3 linked regions of the Lepisosteus oculatus genome follow. The protein of the gene in region 1 purifies or fractionates together with the protein of each later gene. This does not show direct contact. Links are inferred from orthologs where the notes say so. Each region holds a gene or a part of one and is shown on either strand. Other genes may lie near its edges.

Evidence for each region.
Region 2: the proteins of dmd (region 1) and sntb1 purify together in Homo sapiens (co-immunoprecipitation; 4 studies listed by BioGRID and IntAct, counting the BioPlex papers as one, with this or other methods). This does not show direct contact. The link is inferred for Lepisosteus oculatus from reciprocal best matches to the Homo sapiens genes DMD and SNTB1.
Region 3: the proteins of dmd (region 1) and sntb2 purify together in Homo sapiens (co-immunoprecipitation; 4 studies listed by BioGRID and IntAct, counting the BioPlex papers as one, with this or other methods). This does not show direct contact. The link is inferred for Lepisosteus oculatus from reciprocal best matches to the Homo sapiens genes DMD and SNTB2.

Annotation. Positions count from the first base shown.
Region 1 is NC_090710.1:29,679,729-29,687,688, reverse strand, and holds the start of dmd (dystrophin), read right to left. Parts: upstream 3,746-7,960; 5' UTR 3,728-3,745; coding exon 3,631-3,727; intron 1-3,630. UniProt on the Homo sapiens protein: Anchors the extracellular matrix to the cytoskeleton via F-actin. Ligand for dystroglycan.
Region 2 is NC_090705.1:11,036,428-11,044,188, reverse strand, and holds the start of sntb1 (beta-1-syntrophin), read right to left. Parts: upstream 3,470-7,761; 5' UTR 3,127-3,469; coding exon 2,580-3,126; intron 1-2,579. UniProt on the Homo sapiens protein: Adapter protein that binds to and probably organizes the subcellular localization of a variety of membrane proteins. May link various receptors to the actin cytoskeleton and the dystrophin glycoprotein complex.
Region 3 is NC_090715.1:12,723,528-12,731,755, forward strand, and holds the start of sntb2 (beta-2-syntrophin), read left to right. Parts: upstream 1-4,692; 5' UTR 4,693-4,913; coding exon 4,914-5,631; intron 5,632-8,228. Other genes in the region: spire2 (protein spire homolog 2), read left to right, coding at 496-593, 901-1,114. UniProt on the Homo sapiens protein: Adapter protein that binds to and probably organizes the subcellular localization of a variety of membrane proteins. May link various receptors to the actin cytoskeleton and the dystrophin glycoprotein complex.

The sequences.
Region 1 (7,960 bases):
CCCTCTTCTGAGTAATGCACTAGAACTGCCCTTTAAATTCATACTGCACATTCTCTCAAAACCTAAGGCTGCAAACACCACCAATCACACTAGTGTCATTTTGGTCTCTCCATCACCCTGCTGTAAGCCTATAGAAAATTAAAAAAATGTTTCTTTAAATGTTTTGCCACAACTGCCTCTAAAAGACTTAGATGTTCCTTGTAAGTACAGTAGAACACTTTAAACTCAATAGGCAATTTGCACAATACAGTACGTTATGTGTTCACTCTTTTGCTGACAACCAGAGGACCAGACAGCTAAGCAATTTATGACTGCATAGGTCATTTCTAAAAGAATCTAAACAAAAAATAAGTTGCATGGTGCTCTAGAATATATAAGGAACCCAACACCTTGAATTTAATTTTATAATGCTTATTCTTGTTAAACTCCAACCCAGATTTATTTGATTTGAGCAGCAAAATAGAACAAGTAAGTTTCTTTAAACCTTTTCTTTTGCTAATGAACTCAGAAACTACTGTGCTGAAGACACTGTTAGCTTTATTACTGCTTCAAATATTTCAGCCAAAAAACACGCCATTCTGTCTCTTGAGAAAAGATGTTAAAAGTCTTAATACAGCCACTGTATTAAGACAGAACAATTGCAAAGTCCCAGTTTAATAGGCTTTAAAATGCAAGCTTTATATTCTAAAATTCTACCAAGCTTTGTATGCTTTAAGATTAGTGTATTAATATTTATAAGATGATGCTGCAGATTAAGAATAATTACGTTTTCCATGTAATCACTCTTTTGTTTCAAGCTAAGACTTTCTAACAAAAGGTTCCAGGACAAGGCAGCATCATCTAACATAGATTCCTGTCCCAGTTTGTTCGATATGCTACAGAATACTGCATTCAGGACTCACATCTATTAAATAATAAAATGAGTAAAGTGATCCAACACAACCGTTTCTCATTAGTCGTAATGGGATTAAATTATTTTATTGTGATTATCAATTCAGGGTGGTACAGTGGGTAGCACTGCATCATGGTCCTGGATTTAGAGCAGTCTAGGTGGAGTTCATGTGTTTGTCCATGTTTGTCCTGCGTGTTTTGTTTTGTGCCTGTGGATTTTCTCTAGATGCCTACCATAGTCCAAATACTGCACACACTGTCTGGGTAATTGGGATCTCAGAATGGCTCCCTGTTTGCTGGTTCGCAAGAGAGCCTTATTATGGATTTGTGTCCTTTCCAGGTTATAATCCTGCCTTGTATGCTGTGCTTACAGGGTTTTGATCCACTGCAAACCTCTAAGGATAAAGTAGTAACTAAAAATGGATGGATGGCTTATTAAAATAAGCAACACTCCTCAGAATGTACAAAATACAATTACACTGGACTGCTTCTCTTTAACAACAATGTCTGAAAGGGAAATAAGGAGTCATTTCTATGTTATTGCCATTACATTTTAAGCAATATTTTCTGGGCAAAGACCTACAGTACGCAACACTCCAGCCTATTAGAATGAGCAATCAGTGGCTATCACCTCTACTATTTAGTGAATACAAAATAGTAACACTATTATAACACTTCCTCCCACCAGTCGATTCAAGCATGATAGTTCTCAGAAAAATGTAAGATCAAAAGTCTGTTGTCATGCAGCTTTTTTTCCCCCTCCTAGTCAAGACCTATTTTTTGTTCTTTGTGTAACAGCGAGTTTTTTTTTTTCCATGTTAGCAAAGCTGTAAATCTCTCCCGACTGAGCCAGGAGAAGAGATATCAGCTTGCACTGTGGAGTGTGGTCAAGGACTGGATAGTTCTCATTGGACCTGAGAAGTGATAGGTTGTCTGGTTTCACACGAAGGGTAAAGAGACTGTCACTCCCATATCTCAAGGACAGAGGCCTCTTTGCCCTCTTGGGCCTGCAACAGGTGGCAGATTCTGTCCTCCCCTTTGCAATCATCCCTGGGGTTAAGTGTGCTGCTGGCAGAAGGATTATATCCAGTCTCATGCTGTTAAAAGGCTGAGAACTGGATTGTGTGTTGGGGCCAAACTGACCCTGAGAAACCCTCGCACAACTGCCTGAGGACCCAACAGCTATGAGACAGCAGCGCTTACTGCCATTCCACAGGGCCATGTCACTCAAATGAAAGCATACGGCAACTTCACCTTCTTCTAACTAACTGCACTAGAATTTGTATAAATCTGTGTGCCAAGTAAAATCGAAATCGCTGAGAGGTAAATTACGTTAGACACCAGGTCCCAGACAAGAAGCAGTTCTGTGATTTTGTGTTCTTTTCAAGTTTCGACAACAGAAAAGTCTAGAACTGTCCTTTTTCTAACCACCTGCTTCTAGTTCAATTTAATTTCAGGTCAGCTGTCAGATTATCCAATTAAGATGATTTATCCTACAAGACAAAGCTAACAATTTTCACGTACTACAGAAAGTAGCATTCTGAATACAAGAACGACACAATGCTCTGAAACCTTACAGCTGGGGTTTTTCTAAGCCGATCCAGATTTGTTTCACACAATCATCATCAAACCAAATCTAACGTAACTTCTGCTTCACTCTGTCCAGATTCTCTAAAGCTTTTTTTTATTAAAGCAAAATATGCCACAGCTGCACCTTGCCTGAAGCAGATCACAGCTGAGGATATGCCAAAAACATGCAGCCTTTGAGGACAATGGAAAAGTCTCAGTTTGCATTAGTCAGGAAATCCGAGGTTTCACTAGACATGTTTCCAAATATTAAACAGCTTCAAAATTAGCTGTCAAGTCTCATTTCTATATGTCAAAGCTTTTTTTTTTACAAATAAGCTGATATAGGGAAATTAGGAGCAGTAATTAAGCACAAAATCAGAGAGCAGCTGGGGAGGCATCAAGTTGGCAAAATGCAAGTACAGTTTGGTTTGCTGAAACAGATGCAGCAGTTATCTACAACAATACTGCTGGACCATTTCTGAGTTTTTTTTCTTTTGCTACTGTACACTCCCACCTCTTCAGGAATAAATTAATAAAAAAAAAACATTTGTGAAATAAAACAAAGTGGAACCAGCAGCAATAAACTCACATTGCTGCACTCATAACATCATATAAAGTAAGGAAAGATTCATTACAAGACACGGTATTATCAGTAAGCCCAAGTGGTTGTAATACTCTCTGGCAATTTCTACAGGGAATATTTTTTTGCTTCTTTCTTTCCTTCTAACCCACTTTCTAAAGCTAGACTGACTACTGTTTTTATTTTTTTGTTGTTTTTGGCTTACCTGACAAAATCTAATTCCCCAGTTCTTTTCATAACTACATGCAGTCTATTAATAGTTGATGACTGTTTTAAAGCAGATTTGTTTCACAGCAATGGTTTGTTTTCAGTCGGTATTCCCCCACTGAGGACTGTAACATTAAGTCTTCAAAACAAGGAGAAGAAGAGCAAGAGAAAAAAAAAGATCCATGCTGCTAATTCTGATAGATAGCCACAGCAAAAAAGACAACAAATAATCTTTTTTTTTTTCGGCAGTTTGACTGACACAACCCCTTTCAGTGCCTAGCAACAAATCCTCTTCCATCAAGCACAGGGCATTCTAACATATGCTCTGTCATGGTCAGTTTCTAATTACATTCATAACGATGTGATGGCGTTTGTAATCCTACCTTCCATGCCAGCTGCTTTCCCATTCACTCCATCACGCCAATAAGTTGGCGGCTGAAACCAATCTGGGCTGTGCAAAACGGCATCTTTTCCCTGCATCTGTCATCTTCCGGAGAGCATTCTATTACTGCCGACTGCTGGGAGCCAGAAAGTCTATTTGAATTCCAGCAGCTCCCTTCTTTCCTGCTTCAAGTTAGGCTAGGTGGGCATGTCTAACGTGATTCTCTCCATCATTTATTATGCAGCTGCTACACGATCGTGTCCTGCTAACCCTTTTTTTATCTGATACATCACTCGCAGTAACCTAGACCTTTCTGCTATAACACATCTGAAGCTACTACAGTAAAATCAAGGCTGCATGCACATCTGGATGTATATATATATACAGTACATTTTATATTTGGTTTTATATATGAAAAGGGAATACATTTTTTAAAATAGTAATTTATTTAAACATGCACATGCTGACACACTCTAGGTGTCAGAATTATCCTTCCATTCCTCTAAGATAGGAAGAATTAACATGAAAAATTGATTTGAAGGAACAGTTTTACCATGGTTAAAAGAAAATGCAGCAGAAGGCTAGTTTTGCAGGGATTTTATGACAAACTTTTCTTATCTGCATATCCACGCTCAGTGCTACACATACATTCAATCAATGATTTCCCAGAGCACACATCTAGAAAACTGCTGTTTGAAGTCATGTTTTCCATTGTCCTGTCAAGCTTGTCGTATACCTGCTGCTCTATAGACCTTGGGGCAGGTAGATTCTAGTGCGTCACTTTTTATTTTTAATCTTCTTTTAGATTGAAGTATTTTATGTTTAGTACAGGTGGGCATTTCATTTAGGAAGCTGAAAATACAAACCCCTCACCCACAAATCTCTTTTCTGCAGGTGCAACGTGTTTTTTTTTCCCTGTGTAAGTCTTTCACAGTGACGTAACCACTTCTGTCCCGAAAGAATGAAAGCTATGGGAAGCCTGCTGAGTTATACGACCAGTCTTTTGACCGACCAGATGCGTTTGCATGTCAGCGCACTGTGTGGTGGGGGATGCTTACGAGACAGAAGATTGAATCCCAGCAGGAGATAAACTGTGCATGTATCAGAGGCTTCACATTCAAGGAAGCTATGATGTTTGCTCCACTCCTGACTTTGCCACTGTAGTTAACGTTACTACTCTTTTGTGTTCTTTTCTGTCCATTGAGACTTTTTTGCAGACTCCTCCACAGTAAGGCTTCAGTAAGAGTCCTTATGGACAAACTATCACTGTATGTTTTCTCCTTTCTTGAATATAATTTGCCTAGCTTCATTTCTCTCAGCACATTTTCAGGCTCACCGTTTAAAAGAACGCTTCCAAATGTTCCTCTTACGTACAGTAGCTGAAGTTAAATGCTCCCTGTTATACTTCTTTCTGAAATGGTTAACACACTTTGTTTTTTACAAGTCAGTGTTCAGGAAACCATGCTGTACATATAGTTTTCCATTTGCATTTGGATGTAGAAGGTGTGCCCATTATTTTGTCTGCCAGATGTGCAATGTCTTCTGTCTTAACATTTATAATTATTTTGCAACCTTTTAAAATACATTTGAATATTACAAAGAAAACCTTTATACTGAATCAATTTAGACAACTTTTAAAAAGTGCCCATAATTCATATTATAATTTTAAAGACTTCACAATGCATGCGCACAAAGGTGTAAAACATTTGAAAAGCCCAACATGGAATCTAAAACCACAATAAAAAATGCCATTGGTAAGAGTGTCAAGGAAGGACACAATGCTAAAATCAAGGCACCAGTAGTGACTAGACATCAGTATATCATGTTGTTATACTGTATGTGTGCCAAAACACCAATATATTATTTTTGAATCCCTTTAGAATAGGGTCTAGAAGCAGCTCAATACTGCATTCATTCAATCTGATTGAATCGTTCAGCGATTTGTCTGACCCTGTTAATATACACCTTCTCATAAATTTAGAACCTTTCAACATGAAGAAAGAAGCTTTTAAAGCCAATAAAATAACAGGGAGGCAAGTATGCAACAATGATATCCAATCAGTTTTGCACTGCATTTCAATCAGCGCAGAATGCACAAAATTGCTGATCCTCTTAAGTTTGCTCTAAAAATGGCAAAACTCTGCACAAAAAAGAGCACAAAAACAAAGCCTTTTTCTAAAGTACATTGTTTTCTTTAAAAAGTCAGAAATATTTTAGCAGCTCGCAAACTGAAAGGCGTCTCATTTAAGCTGTCCTATAGTTATACACATTTCCAGGACACTGGAAATGTCCTCGTTAAACTGATTAAACTGATTTATTTAATCAATTCTTTTTTTGCCTCTTTTTTTATCTATTAAAATTTGGAGATAGCTTCATTACTTTTCTACTGCTTTTTCATCTCTGTCTGTATGTCTGATTTAGATACAGACAGATTTAAGTTTCGTTGCCCTAATATACTGTCTTCTGCTATTCTTTTCAATATCTATCATTGTCACTGGAACTACTGGAATAATTTGACGTCAGTGATTTTATTGCAGTGATTAAAGCATAGGTTTACCAGTGAACTTCACTTGCGGTCATTCTTATTTGCAAATGTAAAAACAACAAAGAACCTCATTAAAAAAAAAAACATTTTGCAGGACAAAATTAAAACCCGCTTCATTTTTTTCACTACCCTTTTCTAAATGAAGTTACTACGCCTATGAAGACAACTCACACTGTGACATTAATGACTGGTAGAATTCAAATGAAGCAGTAAATGGGAATTCTTCTGTATTGACAGAACCAGCAGCCAGAGGAGCAGAAGTTAGGATCTGTCTTTCTCTCCCTGAACTGCCAGAGAAAGTGGATTTTGCAGTGTACTTTGAGGATAATTCCCTTGCTGGCCCACAACTACAGAAAGAGATACATTTCAAATCCTGTCTCAAAGACAATCGGTTTGGTGGCTTGGTGCTCAAGGGAGGTCTGGAGTGGAGCATCCTTCTTCGAGAGACAATATCCTGTAAATGGTCTTGCTTTAACTGTTTGTTCTGGCTGTGAATCCCTTGTGGTAAAATAATGCACTAAAATATCTAAATGGCTTTGACAGTAACTGGTGCACCTTTTGTTTAATGGCAATGAAGAAATATAAATAGTGGCAATTCAGTTAATAAAAAATGTCATTTAAATAAAGCCTCTTGGCAAATATTCATAGAGGTGGGGGATTATGGCATTTATATAGGACAAATCGACATTTATTCTCATGATAGTGACATATGCAGTAGCATGTATTGTCACCTTCTTTTGTTTGGCTGTTTTATCTTTGACCACTCTTACAAAGCAACGTCTTGCTACAGGTCTTAATAGAAGGTCTGTTGCCAAGACAACAATATCTAGACCCCTAGAATAAGTTACAACAAGTTACAAAGGAGTTTTCAAGACATGATCTTCAAATTTGAAATTCTGAAATCTAGACAGCAGTTTTTTTTTGTGAAGAACTGTTGGTGAACAGTGTTGTACTAAAGGTTGTGAAACGAGATTTCTGAGACAATTTGGGGTGTGACTGGTTTTAAGTGCCATCAAATTAGTAAGAATCTAAATCTTGCCAAGGAAAAGCACAAGCAGATACAACATCACTATTCTGTGCCATCTCTACACTTGCAGACTAAAATAATTTTTCACCATGACAAGGACCCGAAATACCAAATAAAACATTCTTTTGGTCAGGAAATATATGTTTGGCAGAATATTGTATGTTAAAAATGTAAAATTATAAGCTATCATGAAGTTCTGTTTCAGTGAAGCATTCTGACATTATTTCTTAGGTTACCAGAATAATAATGAGCTAAATGTTGCAATAATCAATGAATTTCCAATGGTGAAAAGCACACATATAGTACCATAGTTCACAACAATTGCATTAATAAACTGCAGTATACTAAGAACTAGGGCGTTTGTAAAATTAGGAGTATAAATGATAAATCACAGAAATAAGAAAAATGAATGATTTTGAAACAATGCTATCATGTATTTTTTTGTTATTGTCTGATAAGAACAAAAATGAGAGAGTGAACAAAAAAAATAAAAATAAAGAAGTCCTCCAAAGTTGGGGGGGTGGGGTGTAGGTTGGTTAAAAAAAATAAACAATGATATCATGCAAAATAGCTGTCCATGATTAATCAACAAACACTGTGAACACTGCACTGATGTAACAACTATGAATACTATATTAAGCATTATTAAATGCAGCACATTTAAATATTTACATACAAACCAATAGCGAAGGAACATATTTGTCAAAAACTGAGGCCTAACTGTATTTCACAACAACTGGTGTGTTTGTCAAATAAGCC
Region 2 (7,761 bases), on another chromosome or scaffold:
CTGCCGTCGCATCATCCAGGTGGAAGCTGCACATTGGTGGTGGTGGAGGGGAGTCCCCATTACCTGAAAAGCGCTTTGAATGGAGCAATTAGTAAGCAATTATTATTATTATTATAGATGGGGATTATTAGGAGGCCACTTTAACAGACGGGTTGATAAGGTACTTATTAAATGTACTTAAAAAGTGTTCTATGACTAGAAGATAATTACAATATTAACATAATATAGAGTTTATTTTTATCTCAGCTCATACAGTACATTGGTAAGGGCCAATGGGAATTGTGGCCAGGACACTGGGGTTAAACCCCTTACTCTTTTCGAGAAATGCCCTGGGATTTTTAAGTACAGTGTCCCAGTCACTATACTGGGGCATTAGGACCAACATAGACCGCAGGGTGAGCTCCCCCTGCTGGCCCCACTAACACCTCTTCCAGCAGCAACCTTAGTTTTTCCCAGGAGGTCTCCTATCCAGGTACTGACCAGGCTCAGATCAGCTGAGCTTCAGAGGGCTGCAGGGTGATATGGTTGCAACTCACAACTGGCAACCCACTGAAGCTAGGTTCTTTGACTATGTAATACTATAGAGACAATGTTCTCAGCCTTTACATTGCACCTTACTTTGTGCAAGATTATGCTCTTTCATTTATGCATGACAATGCACAGTCCCATATCAGACTTTCAAATATTATCAGATATTTCCTGGCATGGCACATTGTGTGTGTGATAGACTGGCCACACTATTCACCTGACATAAACTCAATAGAGCACCCTTGTAGTGCACTGAAGTGGACAAGTGTGTGTGTGCGTTTCCTCGGGATCCTTGATCATGCACACCCACTGAACTGTGTGCATCACTCCCGGCTCATACAGAAATAAACGCTTGTGCGATACTGATGCCTTTTCATGTCTGTCAGCAAATGGAGAACACATGAAGTATTGAACTCATGCATTGAAAAAATGTACACCTTTAGCACTTAACTTCCTTCTTTTTGATAAAAGATTTAAACATGAATGTACCATAAGTGCCCCAGCATTACTAAAACATACATCAGCCTTGTTCTTGAATAATGAAATATAACAATACATTTATTTTGTTGTGTTTTAACGCATCTCAGTATATAACACAAAGTCTTTGGCAATCCCACCTGACTTCAGCAGAGCCTGCTCAAACATTTATTATTTATGTATTCACTGACCATCATAAATGTAAACGAAGCAAAAATGTTCATGGTAAACCGCCAGCAAATGCCTACCCGTCCACCATTTTATTCTGACACCTCAGGCTCCCCCCGTCTGGGGAACCACTGCTCCAATTGCACTGAAACTTGGCTGAGCAATCGAGGGTGCTTTCCGATTGGCCTCTTGCACAAACTGCCTCTTTGTAACGACCATTTGGACAACTGACTACTCCAGAAGTTCATCACACTAAAACCTGCTCCTCACATATTGCAGTGAATTTTTTTTATGGCCACAACAGGTCATCACTTGCCTGGCACAATGCTTCTTTAAAAACTGTTTGGCCGCTGACATCTGAACTCGGCAGTTTTAATCTCCCCCCCCCGACTTTACTTCCAGTTGACTCACACTGTTAAAGTGGAGTAAGACTTGCTGTTTTCTAGCATTTATTATTTAGATTTTGCTACAGTACAGCCTGTGTTTAAGCCCAAATGTTACGATAGAAATTTACATACGTAGGTCAAGGTTTGTTTGTTTTTTTTTACTTTTCCATTCATTTAGGATCGCATCCTCAATTTCGACAAGCACACGCAGATTAATGGCTGGGAAATGTTAAACTGCGAACAAAGCAACTTTTGAGGAGGGAAACAAGCTGCTAAATGTGTCCTTTTAATCGTCTTCACTCCTTTTTTTAAACAAGACCCCCCCCCTTTAATATCATACTGTATGTACACTCATTTTTGATAGATGTAGATCTACGTACGTGGAGCATAATCTATGCGAGAACTCAATGTACTGACAGCTATTATGTCCAAGCATATGTAAACATTGAAAACGTGACGTTAAACAGACTTCGAGTACTGTTCTTTTGTGAACCTGTTCCTGGCCATGCAAGAGTTGTTAACCTCATGCCCGTCTGCAAAACAGTTACTCTTAGGGAAAGTTGAACGGTGTAAGCCTGCACGCCATTCGATTGGATGACTGATTCCATGGATTTTGTAGTTCACTGTATAACCTATTTTTACGGCGAAGTTTACATTGTAAATGGCAAACAATCGCACTGCTCTTAAATGTTAAACAATCACAACAATCTTAAACGTGAAACTGTGACATTGTCCGTCACGTGACAGAAACAACACACATCAAGAGTAAAACTACATTATGACCTTAAAATTCATGTATTTGTACTAGTTATTTAACGGTTTTATTTCCATTTCTGTATTGCTTCGCATTTTACACGCCTCTTCTTTTTTTTTCTGATGGATGTACACAATATTCCCCCACCAGTTAACTTTAAAACTGTCGGTCTCTTACGTGACTGTATATCCCCATTGCTGATACCGAAGTTCTCTCCCGTTCCGCGCAAAAAAACCAACAACAACAAAAGTTTCTCCGTCTCTTACCTTCCAGCGTCACCTCTCTTCCAGCCCTCTTCAGCGCTTGCACCGCCTCGTCGTGAGTGGCGTCCCGGAGATTCACTCCGTTCACCGACAGGATCGCGTCCCCGACATACAGCGCCTGGGTCTGATCCGCGGCTAGACCCTTGAAGATCTTACTGATGAGTATCGGCATCTTATTTTCCTTGCCCCCCTTAATGCTGATCCCCAGTCCCCCGACCTCCTGCTTTATGACTTTGACGATTCTCTTTCTGTTAGCTATCGCCTCCGGCACTTGCTCGGGTGAATCGGTGTAAGCTGTCCTGACAGGGGCTTTGGGGCTGTTCGTGGGATCGGGGTGACCCCCGTATGATCCATTGGTGATGCCATTCAGATTGACATTCTCCCCGGGCTCCTCGTAGCTCAGCGTGAGGGCTTCTTCGCCTAAACTGGCGAGAACTTTGTGCCACCGATCCCGGACCAAAACTTCTAAAAAACCACTTTTCTGAACCCTGCTTGTCGGAACTGCTGTTGCCACCGCCATCTTTGGAACATTCTTAAAATGCCATGTCATTAAACACACTCAGGACTTTACTCTCGGACTCCGGAGAGCTTGGGAAATAGTTTTTATCCTTTTTTTTTTCCCTCAGCCGCCTAATCTCTCTCACTCCCCTTATCCTTTTTGGGTGGAGCAACCCATTAGGAAATCCCACAAAAACCGAGCAAAGTTTTCAACACGCAAAAAAAAAAAGAGAAGAGCTTTCTCCGGGAAGTTTTAACGTTTTCATTTCCTCAAAAGCTGTGAGTTACAGGTGGGACTTTTTAGATAGTTTGCATTTTCTTGGTCCCTAAACGCCAACGCTGAAATAGTTTTATTTTCACGAAGTTTCCGACGCAGGAAGTCATGAAGCGTCTAAAGGCATTTCAAGGCAGATTTTAACAAATGTAACTATGTCCAAGATGAAGTAGCAATAATGTAACTTGCAAAATCTTAGTTTGAAGCTGTTGACTGAACGGGATACACGTGTCTGTAAAACGGGATAAATTCGAGTTGCGAATTGAAATTTGAACGTCGCATTTCAAAATACATGTATATGAGGGATGATAATGGATTACAAATACAGATTTACTATTTTCATTTGACGTCTTCATAAGCCGTTAGAAAATACGTTTTTAACTTGTCGGAACTGTCCATGTCCTCGCTGTATTTCTCCGCATTAGATGTTAAGGCTATTGCAAGGGAAAAAATAATGTTCTTGCTTTTTAAACGTTTCTTTTATTTTCATTGATTACAGGTGACACGCTTTAAATCGAAAGTATTATAGTTTAAAATGCAAATACTAAGATGTAAAGCTATATTAAGTAGAAGCTTAAATTTGATATGGTCTTGGTAAAAATTGCTAACATTTAAAAACAGAAACGGTGACTAGGTAAAACAACTGCTGAGATACACCTGCAAAGCCTTACGTTTTTCTTCGTAAACTCAAACGAAAAACAGATACACAGCAGTGCACTAGTTTTTCAATGTATGGGAAGTGAGCTTACACTGTACATACAGTATATAGCAAAGATCCGGAACTCCACAAGAAGAAGAAAACGTTTAAACAAACAGCAATTTCGCATGACGCACAAATTCTGGTAAAAGAAACTGTCATGAAAGCAATAACTCTTTTGTCAGTTTTGTGTACCGATGCAAAGAATCCTTATCTACCGGTTGGGCTTGGGGTTAAGAATATTTCTGTGTTTTGCATACATATTCACATGGTTCAGTACACCTGAGGTGTCCCAGTTACTGAATGTGTTTTAAAAGGAATATTCGGGTACAAGAATAACATGGAACAGTGTGTAATTTGAAAATAATAACCAAACTGCGATAATCTATCAGGCATAATGCCCCTTTTATATGAAATGTTATATCAAATCTTTAAAGGCCTATATGGAACTCGTCTCTATCCAACTGGCTTTTAATTCCTACAGGCGTTTAAAGAGACCAGAGCTATGGAACCCTGCTGTAATTCTTGAGATGTTCACAGCAGTAAATCTACAATATTTTTACGAATGAATGCTTTCTGTGTTTCTACCACACTTGATTCACACACTTAGCTTTTTGTCGTGATTTCGGTGCTTCCCTGCCTTCTACCATCATTTCACTGTGCTTCGATATATATTAAAAAAAAAAACATTTGTCCTGGCAAAAGTTTTAAAAAGAAAATGCGAGATGCAGAAAGGGAGGATCTGACAGGGTAATTCGGTATCTGCCCTGAGCTCAGATTATGTCACGAAGAAATCCTCCGGTTTGACGGTTCGCAGTTTATCATTGCCAGAGGAAAGGTGCTTGATGCTGGACCGCTACCCCTCTCAGAAATGATCATTGCAGAGTTCTTTCTTGCAGGCAAGAATACAAAACAATAATAATGTAATAATAACCATGAATCAATTTTAATAACAGTTTAAAATCTCACAGAAATACTTTAAATGGACACATAGTGTTTACCATAGTAATAAATGAAAATTCCTCGTTCGGACCTCTTCTTTTAATACTCCAGTTTAAAGCAGGTGCTGTGGGCGACACCTGGTGGTCAATTATTGAAGTAGCTAATAGGAGTGATGATTTTTAACCTTAATACAAAACTCAACGTACACCAAAGACGTATTTTGAAAGGCAACAAGTATTCATAAAAGCCTAAAGGTTACAGAACAAGAACGTATTTGCATCAAGCATTAATTTGTAGTCTATACGTTTCAACTTTTAACAACATGAAATCTTCTAAAATTACTCGTTGAGACTTGTATCAATAGTTGGAAAACCAAAACGAATAGTCCTTTAGATATGCCTGCTTTACAATATATAATTTATCTAATTTTGACTACTATAACTAAACAAGTCAAGAATTTAACTATTCCGTGATAATTGGTCCAGACCTGCGAACTTCAAAGTGCCACCGACTCAACATAATTAAAGCACCCTGAGCAGAACAGCAAATACCGCCCCCTTCTGGCAGAATCTTAACATTGCGGTGTTGGTCAATGTCTTGGCCACTAAATATCATTGTATACAGTAGTTGTCAGCTAAATAGCTAGTTAAATTAAATCCCGTAAATCAAGCAATGTAGTGGCAATAATACAAAATGTCAAACACAACACCTTATAAGTATTGCATCTGATTCTTAAAAATAGAACAGAGAATATACATTAATATTATTTAATAAATTAAGACTGAAAAGTGGCTCTGGGAGAAATTCTAATAAATTAATTCTAAAGAAATAAAGAAGTTCTTATTAAAACATTTATATAGCACTTCTCTGGATACTCCACTCAAAGCACTTTACAGGTAAAGGGGACTCCCCTCCACCACCACCAGTGTGCAGCCCCACCTGGATGATATAAGAGCAGACATAGTGCACCAGTACACTCACCACACACCAGCTATCAGTGGGGAGGAGAGTAATGATGATTCATAGATGGGCATTATCTGGAGGCCATGATTGGTAAAGGCCAATGGGAAATTTGGCCAGAAACACCGTGGGATTTTTAATGACCACGAGAATCAGGACCTCAGTTTTAAATCTCATCCAAAGAATATCACCTTTACAGTATAGTGTCCCAGTCACTATAGTGGGGCAGTGGGACAAACACAGACTGCAGGGTGAGCGCCCCCTGCTGGCCCACTAATACTTCTTCCAGTAGCAACCTTAGTTTTTCCCAGGAAGTCTCCTATCGAGGTACTGACCAGGCTCACACCTGCTGAGCCTCAGTGGGCTGCCAGCTGTGAGTTGCAGGGTGATATGGCTGCTGTCTTAATTGTATAAGAGATATTGCTTCTACAAGAATGTTTCCATAATTTTACAGTTATAACAATGACACTGATTAGGAGGATATTTTGGCTTTTAGAAGCTCAATTATTATTCATTGATTAAAGTCCAAATCAGCTTACAGCTATACCCAGTTACAGAGCTTGGTATTTGACAGGTATAAAGTACTTGTCTCAAGCGGACCTAACTCCATTATTAACTGCATATAACCGCATATATTTACTGCTTTCTTTAGCGCCTCAGGTAGCAAAAGCATGAAATAGAAATACAAAACAGGAGACAGAAGATGCTACTTAAGTAAAATATTTATTTGTTCATGTCGTCACTTCTTAAAAACCTCTCGACAATGTGGGGAAGCGATATAATGGCAAATTAAATGTTAAGCTGTATACCATAGTTTAAAAAAAACAATTTAAAAGAGGTGATGTAATATTAAAATTATGATCAATTATGATCAATTAAACAAGAGATTTTATTACTAAGGTCTAAGTAGTCCTCAGCCAAAGTTCTTTTTATTGAACAGATGCCCTGCTCGATTCATCAGTAGCTAAAAAAACAGGTGACCTATAAAACCAGAGGGACTGGGGCTTTCCAAGACCATGATTGAAGACATCTGATCTAGATCATTGATATTAATGACAAAGAGCAGGGTTCCTAGTGCAGACCCCAGTGGCACTCCACCAATTGCCTCACTGTAATTACATTTGTTTTGAGTATAACATAATTTTAGCAGTTAAAAATAAGATTCTGTGAAAAAGGATGTCTGTAATCCCATATATTGTTGCTCCCAGACTAAAGTCAAATTAGTCACCTTTATGAGATTGATCAATAAGTGCTGATCCATCTCATAGAGGTGATCAAACACAAGAGTGAGAACAGGAGCCACGACGATGCTCCTCCGCTCTGTGGAAGTGGCTTTGAGTGTTCAAAGCTGAAGAGCTTACTGTATTTGCTCATCTCCTCGCAAAGGTGGTCAGCTGGGTCAAGATCAATATGTTACACCAGTTCCAGGATGGTTCCTGTCTTTTTTGTATGTCTTTAAATACAGACAGACCTTATGGAAAACAGCACCACCCGGTTCTCTACAAAAATCAGTTATGCTTTTAGATGTCACAGATCTGTAGAAGGAAGGATTGTTAAATGCTTTAAAATTCCACAGTCTAAAAAAAAAAAAATTGGTCAGGGGATGTCATGAAAGTAGTTTATTAATATTGCATTTACACATGGTTTCATTCACATTAGGCCCCATCCTTCAAATCCACTCTTGAAGTGACCGCCATCAGTCCCAGCACAAGGTGGCAGAATACTGCCTCTCCCTCTTACTGAGTGGAGTCAAGAGGCCAGGTGATACCTACAAAAGAGGGAACAAATAAAAACTGCGAGGCAAAATTGAATAT
Region 3 (8,228 bases), on another chromosome or scaffold:
TTATCCTTAAACATGAAACATTCCTGGTGTGGTCATCTCCTCTAACCCGCCCACCCACTGGCCTCCTGAACCTCTGATTGGAGGAGCAGGATGTCCCTCGCTGACATCACTCTCCAAGGCTGCAGGTGACGGGGAAGTCACAGGGGCCAGTCTTTCGCCAGAAGAGTCTACTGTGCAGTGCTCCATGGGAAATCCTTTCTCCGCTGACCAGTCACATGACCCAGACTTGAACTTGTGATGGACGGGATGTATCTTTAACCTGTACTGGGAGCACAATCTAACTGATCGAGAGCCCTCGGGAGCCCCTGCGCAATGAACGCTTGTATCTGAATTTTATAATCTGCGTGCTTGATTCCCCATCACACGCGTTGCTGTGCAGTTGAAAGTGGGAGACTATAACCTAACCTGTGCGGAGGTGCTTCCCACTGTTTTAACTAGTGCCTCTGCGAGGCTGCAGTGAGTGGTGGTGTCAGTGTGGTCTTCTTTGTTGTGCAGATGAAGATCCCCTCCAAGAAGCTGGCCCACATTCCGGTCTACACCGTGGGCTTTGAGAGTGGCACAGTCAGCCACCCCAGGAAGGGAGAGGTCTTTCAGTAAGTTACCTGGCGAGCCCTGGCTCCTGTCCCTCTTGCCACTACGTCTAGGACAACTGCAATAGGGAATGAACATTCATATTATTAGAATATCAAAATATTAATATGATCCGAAAAACCAACTTTCCGCTTCCCGGCTTTGGGAAACACCAAGAGATTATTAATATTCCTACCTAGAATTCATGGCAAATCGTACGCCTGCAGTCGCCATGATCCTGAAAGGTATCTCCAGACAGGTTGTCTTTCTCTCATGAGGACGCTCGACAGCGACGCTCCTCACAGCGCTCCTTCCCTGCTCTTTCTTTAGGTCCCTGCGGAGCCTGACGAGCCGCTCGGTGGAAGAGGAGTTCCCCCACCTCTACGCCAACGGCTGCAGCCTGAAGGACATCTGCTCTGAGTGCGCCAAGTTCGTGGGCGACGTCATCACCTCCAGCCGGAAGAGCTTGGACATCCTGAACAACACTCCCAAGAGAGCCCAGGCCGTCAGGGTGGGCCCTGGGAGAGGTGCCAAGTTCCAATAAAGTGCTTGCCTTTCACGCCATACGCCCTCCCTGAAAGAAAAACATAGCGCCATTTGTGTGTTGAAATAAACCTCGATGTTCCTCTTCTGGCATGGTACGAGTTACCGCCGCGCGTGAATGTCTTCTGGTTCCCACGACAAACGCCTCACGTTTGCGGCTGTTCTCTGCCTGAAGTTGTGATTCATTTGCTCCAGTCGCCTATTATAACCTCTTTTTCAAAACGTCATCGGAATACGTTTTAGAGAGACTTGACCCAGCACGCGCAAAATAAGCCCCCCCAAGGGGAATTAGCACTTGACCCGTTGGGATGTGTTGGAGTCTGCCTTCCCCAAGACGTACTGTAAGTGCTGCTTTTGCGATGTGAGCACTGGTTAAGAGGAAGGGTGAAGGTTTGTCACCCTAAAAGCGGGGCCAAAGAGAGAAGAAATGAGGAGCAAGGGAATGTGACCCTAAAATCCGTGGAGGTCATTGCCTCACAGTTGTTCTTCTTTATTTTGGACATCGAAAACTCCACGTGGAAAAACACAGCTTGCCACATCGTCGGTATCCAAATGAGAGTCTGCGAGCAGACCTGCTCTGTGTCTTGCGCCACCTGTTTCAACAAGAGCATCAAACACAGAGGTGGTTGACATTAATAGAAGCCACAAGGGGTGTCGGGGCTGTCTCTGTCGTCCCGCTGCAGAGAGCTGAGAGTTCACGCCGCCCGGCTGTGCAGGACCTGTGCAAAAGTGAAACTTTAGAAACTTTAGAGAACTTTAGAAATCATCTCGGGAAAGCTCTTCTGCTTCGTATGAGTATTGTCATCCAGGTGCTTCTGAAATCCCATGGTGAAAACATCTGTATCATAATTCAGTCTCTGTTGGGGGAAAATTTATTTTTTCTTTTTTTTTAATTTGTGGTTCAGAACGCAATGTCCAGTGTACAAAACAAAATCAATTTCATTCAGACCTCAGAATTTGAATGTCAGAATCATATTTTTATTGACTGGTGTACTCTATCACAATCCTTTTTTTGCTTTTTAAAATTTTGCTTTTCCAACTTATTTGGAGATTTTTCTTCTTTCTATCCTGAGTGGATGTGACCTGAACCGGTTACGTTTTATCTAGGTATTTTCCTCTGCAAGGAAGGATATTGAGCAAAATGATAGCTGCACTAATTTAGAAAGCTTCCACGTTGGCAGTATTTTGCTTTCACCGGCCAGTTTAAAGACATGATGGTGCAAAGCCTTTTTTCATGTCAGAACCCTGTAAACACTTAATAAAATTAAGCTGCAATAAATCTACATGGCCTGGCATCTGCGTTGTGACCATTTACAATCCATGTTACTTTTGATCAAACAATATACCATCATGGAGACCTGTAGTCAAGTCAGAATTGCTCAGCTTAACTCAGATGTTTCCCAAGAGTCTTGAGTCAGGTCCAGAGCTTCAGGATCCTTTAGCTGATATCACGAGTGAGTCTTGTTGACATGAGACACACGCGGGTCTGAATCCCAGCTATACCGAGTCAATGCAATTGTAAAAATATAAAATCTGTCCGAAAGAGACCCTTGATTCAAGCAAGTACAAGAATTTAATGCATTTCCTACATTTTTGCATGTACTGGAAATAAAACTAAAGAGAATAATTTTGAAACAGGAGAGTAAGAATTACCCTAAAAGCAGTATAGTATTTAATCATTGTCAGCAGGTATTTGCATTTGTATGAGGTCCCATAAAGTTATTCTGCTACAAATAAAGTTGCAACTCGTTTAATAAAAAACATTATAAAAAATCCATTTGCAAAATCCGTGTTCTCCCTTGAACATTCAATTTAGTCCTCGGCTGAGCATTCCCGAAGCTATGCTAGTAGGTGCATGATTAAAATATATTTTTCCACATAAATCAAGGTGCTAATCTAACACAATGTTCACGATCACCAATTGCATGGTAGAAGCACAAACTGCCTTCAAGATCTTCACTACAGCAGTTATATTTTTTGTTTGTTCTGTCAAACGTTCATACTTCTTCCAAGGTCACTGAATGTTTCTGGGTGTGGCACCTTAGTGTATATCACTTCATTGAATACAGTACATAAAACCTGGAAAAGAGCTTTGTTCAACTGAGCAAAAGCTTGCATCAGACAAGACATTGACAAGACATTCACACAGCATGCTGTGCAACTCTTCAGTGAGCTCTGCTGTAGGCTTATCCACACAGTTATCAATCTAATGAATAATAATGACAGTAAGAGCAACCACCATCATCATTTTACTTCTTTATACACAATGGTGTTAACAAAACACAATGAGATAGCTATTAAATAGAGAGCTAGAAACTATTTTCTAAAAAAATATCCTTTTTACTTTAAATAACTCTCAAACTCTTGGATGAATGGCTGCAAAAGTGTTTTAAATTCCGTTTCAGTTCCCACAGCATGAAGGAACACGCTGGGCTTTTTGAAGACTGGAGTGTTCCTGAGGGTCAGGGTAATTTGTCAAGTCTACCATAATTCTGCCAAGCACGATCAGATGTTGTGCATTTTTATGCCACTAGGTGGCAATAGCGACCCACAAACTTGAACAACATTTGCTGCGCTCTGTTTTTAAATGCGCTTCAAGAGTCAACGACAGATCTTCTGGATCAATATTAAGTGACTGTGGGACTTCGCCGAGACTACACAGTCAAGACTTGACAATGCAGTGTACTGTATATGTCACTTGAAGTAAAGTCTGCACTTACTGTACAATTTCAAGGCAAGAGACTCGATCAAGCCTGGTCGCAGGTCCAGATTGCTGACCACTCATCTAAAACTATCACCAAAGTTATACTGTAGTAACTGTGATCACGTGAGAGAGATTTGCTATTGTTATTTTTTACTTTATGGAAATACTATTTCAAAAATGATGCAAGCGAGAGAAGGCCCGTCTTGAGTAAAGAATTATTTCCTATTCTCCGTACCAAATAAATTCCCCTCCCTGGTTGTGGCACTGGTTGTGTGTCGTGGTTGTGCTACCCAGTGTGAAACCACCTTCAGCCTTACACCTTCAAATCTCTATCCTTTCAACTCAGTTTTGATCGAGATGGAAATGACTTAGCGCCCTTAAACTGTCCCTATCTGATAAACACCTGAGGCAAGGGGTGCTCTCTTCTTGAACTCTTTCCACAGCTTTTTTGTTGTTGTTGTTGTTGTTGTTGTTGTTGTTGTTGTTTTTGTGGTGCCGTGTGATGGCCAAAACTAACAACGCCATCCCAAGTAAAAGTCAGTCATTGAGAAAACACTTGGAAGCCCTCGAGTGCTAGAGGTCTCCTTAATGGAGCGCATTACTTGCTTCATTGATCGACAGCACGCCAGTTGTGTGTGTAATTGCGACACATCGCGTTAGCCGCCGGTCCCCGGCCGCGTCTGGATGGTTTTCGGCTGGCTGGTCGGGGTCAGGGCCCGGAGCCCCCCCGCCCACATGCGGCGACCCGCAGCCGGACACGTGTAGTTCAGGAGCAGGTATTTTTTGACAGGAGAGGCCCTTCCTCCTTATGAATAATAAACAGCCCCGTTTCCACGATTGGCCGCCGTCTCACCCTGCCCCGTTGTAAAGTTTTTATCCCCACCACCCTTCTCCTCTCCTCGGCTTTCCTTCATGAATAAATAAAAAAGTCGGTCTAACCTCTTATTTTCTTTCGCGAGTCAACTCGACTTCCAGCGCACTTTTCTGCTCAATGGGTTTGTGGGTGTGACGGGTTTTGCTTGTAACTTGGCGCTGATAAAGAAGGGAAAGAAAAAGTTGAACAACTATGACGGGCGTAGTTTAAAAAACGACCACGATGGCCGTCTGGACGAGAGCTGATAAGAACGGACTTCTGGACCTTCTGCTCCGGGACCGCTGGATTAGGGTCCTGGCAGAACTCACCCGTGAGACCCTAACTTTGACAGCGGATGCCGAGCCCATCGGACCGGGCGGCAGTGCGGATTACAGCCCCTCGCCGGGCCTGTGGAACGGGCTGTCGAACGGGACCGAGTCGGGCGGTCCGACCCGGACGCAGAGCCAGCACCCGAACCACGGCGCGCTGAGACGCACCGGGAGCCCGGCGGGCGGCGGGGTCAGTCGGGCTCAGACCGACACGGGCTACGCTTTCGGCAGCCCGGGCTCGGGCAGGATCGCTCAAGATAACGGCACCAGCTCCGACCTGGGCAGCCCCGGCTCCAGTTACGGCAGCCCCGGCTCAAGCTTCAGCAGCACCGGACCCCTGAGGCTGGGCGATACCCACCCCGGCCTGGAAAGTGCCGGCTCCGAGGCGGTGCGGAGAGTGCGAGTGGTGAAACAGGAGTCCGGCGGGCTCGGCATCAGCATCAAGGGGGGACGGGAGAACCGCATGCCCATTCTCATCTCCAAGATCTTCCCCGGGCTCGCCGCAGACCAGAGCCGGGCGCTGCGGGTCGGCGATGCCATCCTGTCGGTCAACGGCAACGACCTGCGGGAAGCCACGCACGATCAGGCCGTGCAGGCGCTGAAAAAGGCCGGCAAGGAGGTGACTCTGGAAGGTACGTGATCGCAGACGATCTCGGGGATTCACCTCTTTAGGCCACGGCGGTGGGTGGGAAAAGGTTTGTGCGCGGACTTCACCGGCTGGGACCGAAGTCGTGCGCGTAAAACTGGAAAGCGCGGAGGTTATTATTATGATTATTTTATTTTGTGTGTGTGTGCGCGCACAGAGATGAAGTAGCGAGACGAGCTTCTTTGAAGTGTTTTTGACTGCGGCATGCCTCAATCCGTCAACGAAACTCGGGGCTCACGGAATGAGGGAATCAATTACATTTAAGGGGGAATCGTAAATGCTTAAGATGCGAGTCAATTGGACAGATTTTTCGTGATGCAGGGTTCAGAAAATGTTGCTCCCTTGTTTTACACTGAATGCAGAAGTGCTTGTGGGATACCTTCATGCTCGAACTTGGGTCTACTGGGTACTTGAGCATTTCAGTGTATACTCGCCTTCTTTTAAAGATTTATATAAGCAAGACAGACGGCGCTACTCTGTTTATATTGCTGGTCGTTTCAAGATCCCGTCTAAGACCCTATTCCAGTCTTCAAATCCAAGCGCCTTTCTTCCTAAATCCCGTCGTTATCTGGAGGTGAGTGATCTGATGTACATGTTGAAACACCTCGCCGGCATGACACGCTCGTTACAGCGCCGCGAGGTTTGCAAAGGTGAGGCAGGTTGTTCTGGTGACTTCGACGTGTGTGGTTAATAACTGGAGCCACCGCCCTACTATTAATGAGCTTTTGATCGATCAATTAGTCCCCCTCCTCAGACCAGCTGGTACCGAACTGCAGCGGTGTCTCTCTGTCGAGCTCCGACAGGAAGTACGTCGCCGTCAAACCCAGTGTTTTGGAGAACATTTCACAGCAGTCATCTGTTCTCGTGGTTAAACATTTCACGCATTTTTTTCCAGTGTACTTCCTACACGGTGTTCTGGTATAAGTGTGTGTGTGTGGGGGGATTTTATAGAAATATTTTGCGCTGATCTACTTTGTCCTTCTTTGCGTAGCAGATAACAGTATGTACTGCCTTTCATCATGTGCTGGGCTCATAGTATAGCCTAGTTATCTGGAAAAATGGGACAGGAAACTCGTTCTGAGCCTTGTCCTTCGTTTTGAAGTTGCAGGAGACAGTTTCTCGTGCCATTCCTCCCACATTCACTGGAGTGTGTGACGTGAGGCGGGAGGCACAGGCTCCTACAGTGCTCCTCTTCACCGCTGTTCCTGCTGAGCCTGTATCTACAATGTAAGACTTGGGTCTTGTCTGGGAAAGCAGACACCCTGCTGGAGGCATAGCAGTTAAAGCAGCCAGCATGTCCTTGGAGAGTGGGAGGAAGCTGAAACCCCCCTTATTTGTGTGGCCTGACATGCAAACACCACACAAACGGTACCTCGGTTCAGAATCGAAGCCAGGATCCAAGAGCTGTGATGCGGCAGCCAGCGCTAACCTCCATGCCCTCATGTCGTCCCAACTGCAGGTCTGTGCGTCTGAAACAAAAACAGCCGGTGTGCTGTCCTTGCAGTTGTGCAGTACTTTCTGTCCACCCGTTTTCCAACCTCTTCTATCGGCGCGGTGCTGCTGGAGAGCCAGAGCCTTTCTCGGCGAGCACTGGGCGTAAGGCAGGGTACACCCTGGATGGGACACCAGTCCATCGCAGGGCACACACAGGCCCGAGCATGCTCACACTCACACTGTGTCACCGGGGCCAAAGTAGCAGAAGCCAGTTAACCTATTAAGATATTTTTGGACTGGGGGAGGAAACCGGAGCATCCGGAGGAAACCCCAATAAACTCGGGGAGAACATGCAAACTCCGGGCAGATAGCACCCCAGCAACTGAACCCAGGGCCCCAGCGCTGCGAGAGGGAAATTCTCCCGCCGACACCGTTCTTTCCATTAGACCCGTGTACCTTTCGTATTCAAGGAAAGCAATAAAGAATGCTTTTCCAAAATCGAGTGGCTCCTGTGTCTTATCCTAGAGTGCTGCTGTCCCCTGGTTTCAAATCCTCTTTAAATCATCGTGTAACTATTTAGGTCAAACTTTAGGTAGAAATGGAAGAAACTGACTTATGTTCTTTTATAATGGGAGAAGTCATGGAATGCGGTCAGATTATATTCATCCGCAGTGTCCTCCCTAGCTCCTGGAATGGTTGCAGAGGACAAAATTTGGACCCTCTTGTCCGAATCCCGTCCTTTTTCACTGGGATGGACCCGGGCTCGGAGCCTGGCTTGTGCCTGAAGCTGTTGGCAGCTCCGTTGGTAATGACCCGGAGGGTTGATCCCACCGGCGCCCTGGCCTGACCTTCCCGGTACTCTTCCGGGATCGTCCCCTGCCCGCGCGCTGGCCGAATGAAGTCCGCGGTCACGGGTTCGAGTCTGGGCATCCCTGCTGGCCGTCACGATGGAGCTCGGTGTGCTGGGGCTGGAGGAGAGGAAGCAGTTTGCTTCTCCGGGGGGACGCGCCAGTGCAATTAACCTGCTTAGGGACCCTTGGAACTTGTATTAAAAAAGAAAGGAATGAAGTCGCAGAATGTGCCCCTGCACTACAGGCGCGCTGACGTATTTATAATTAGTTCTCCCGTTCTGTTACATAATACAGTCTT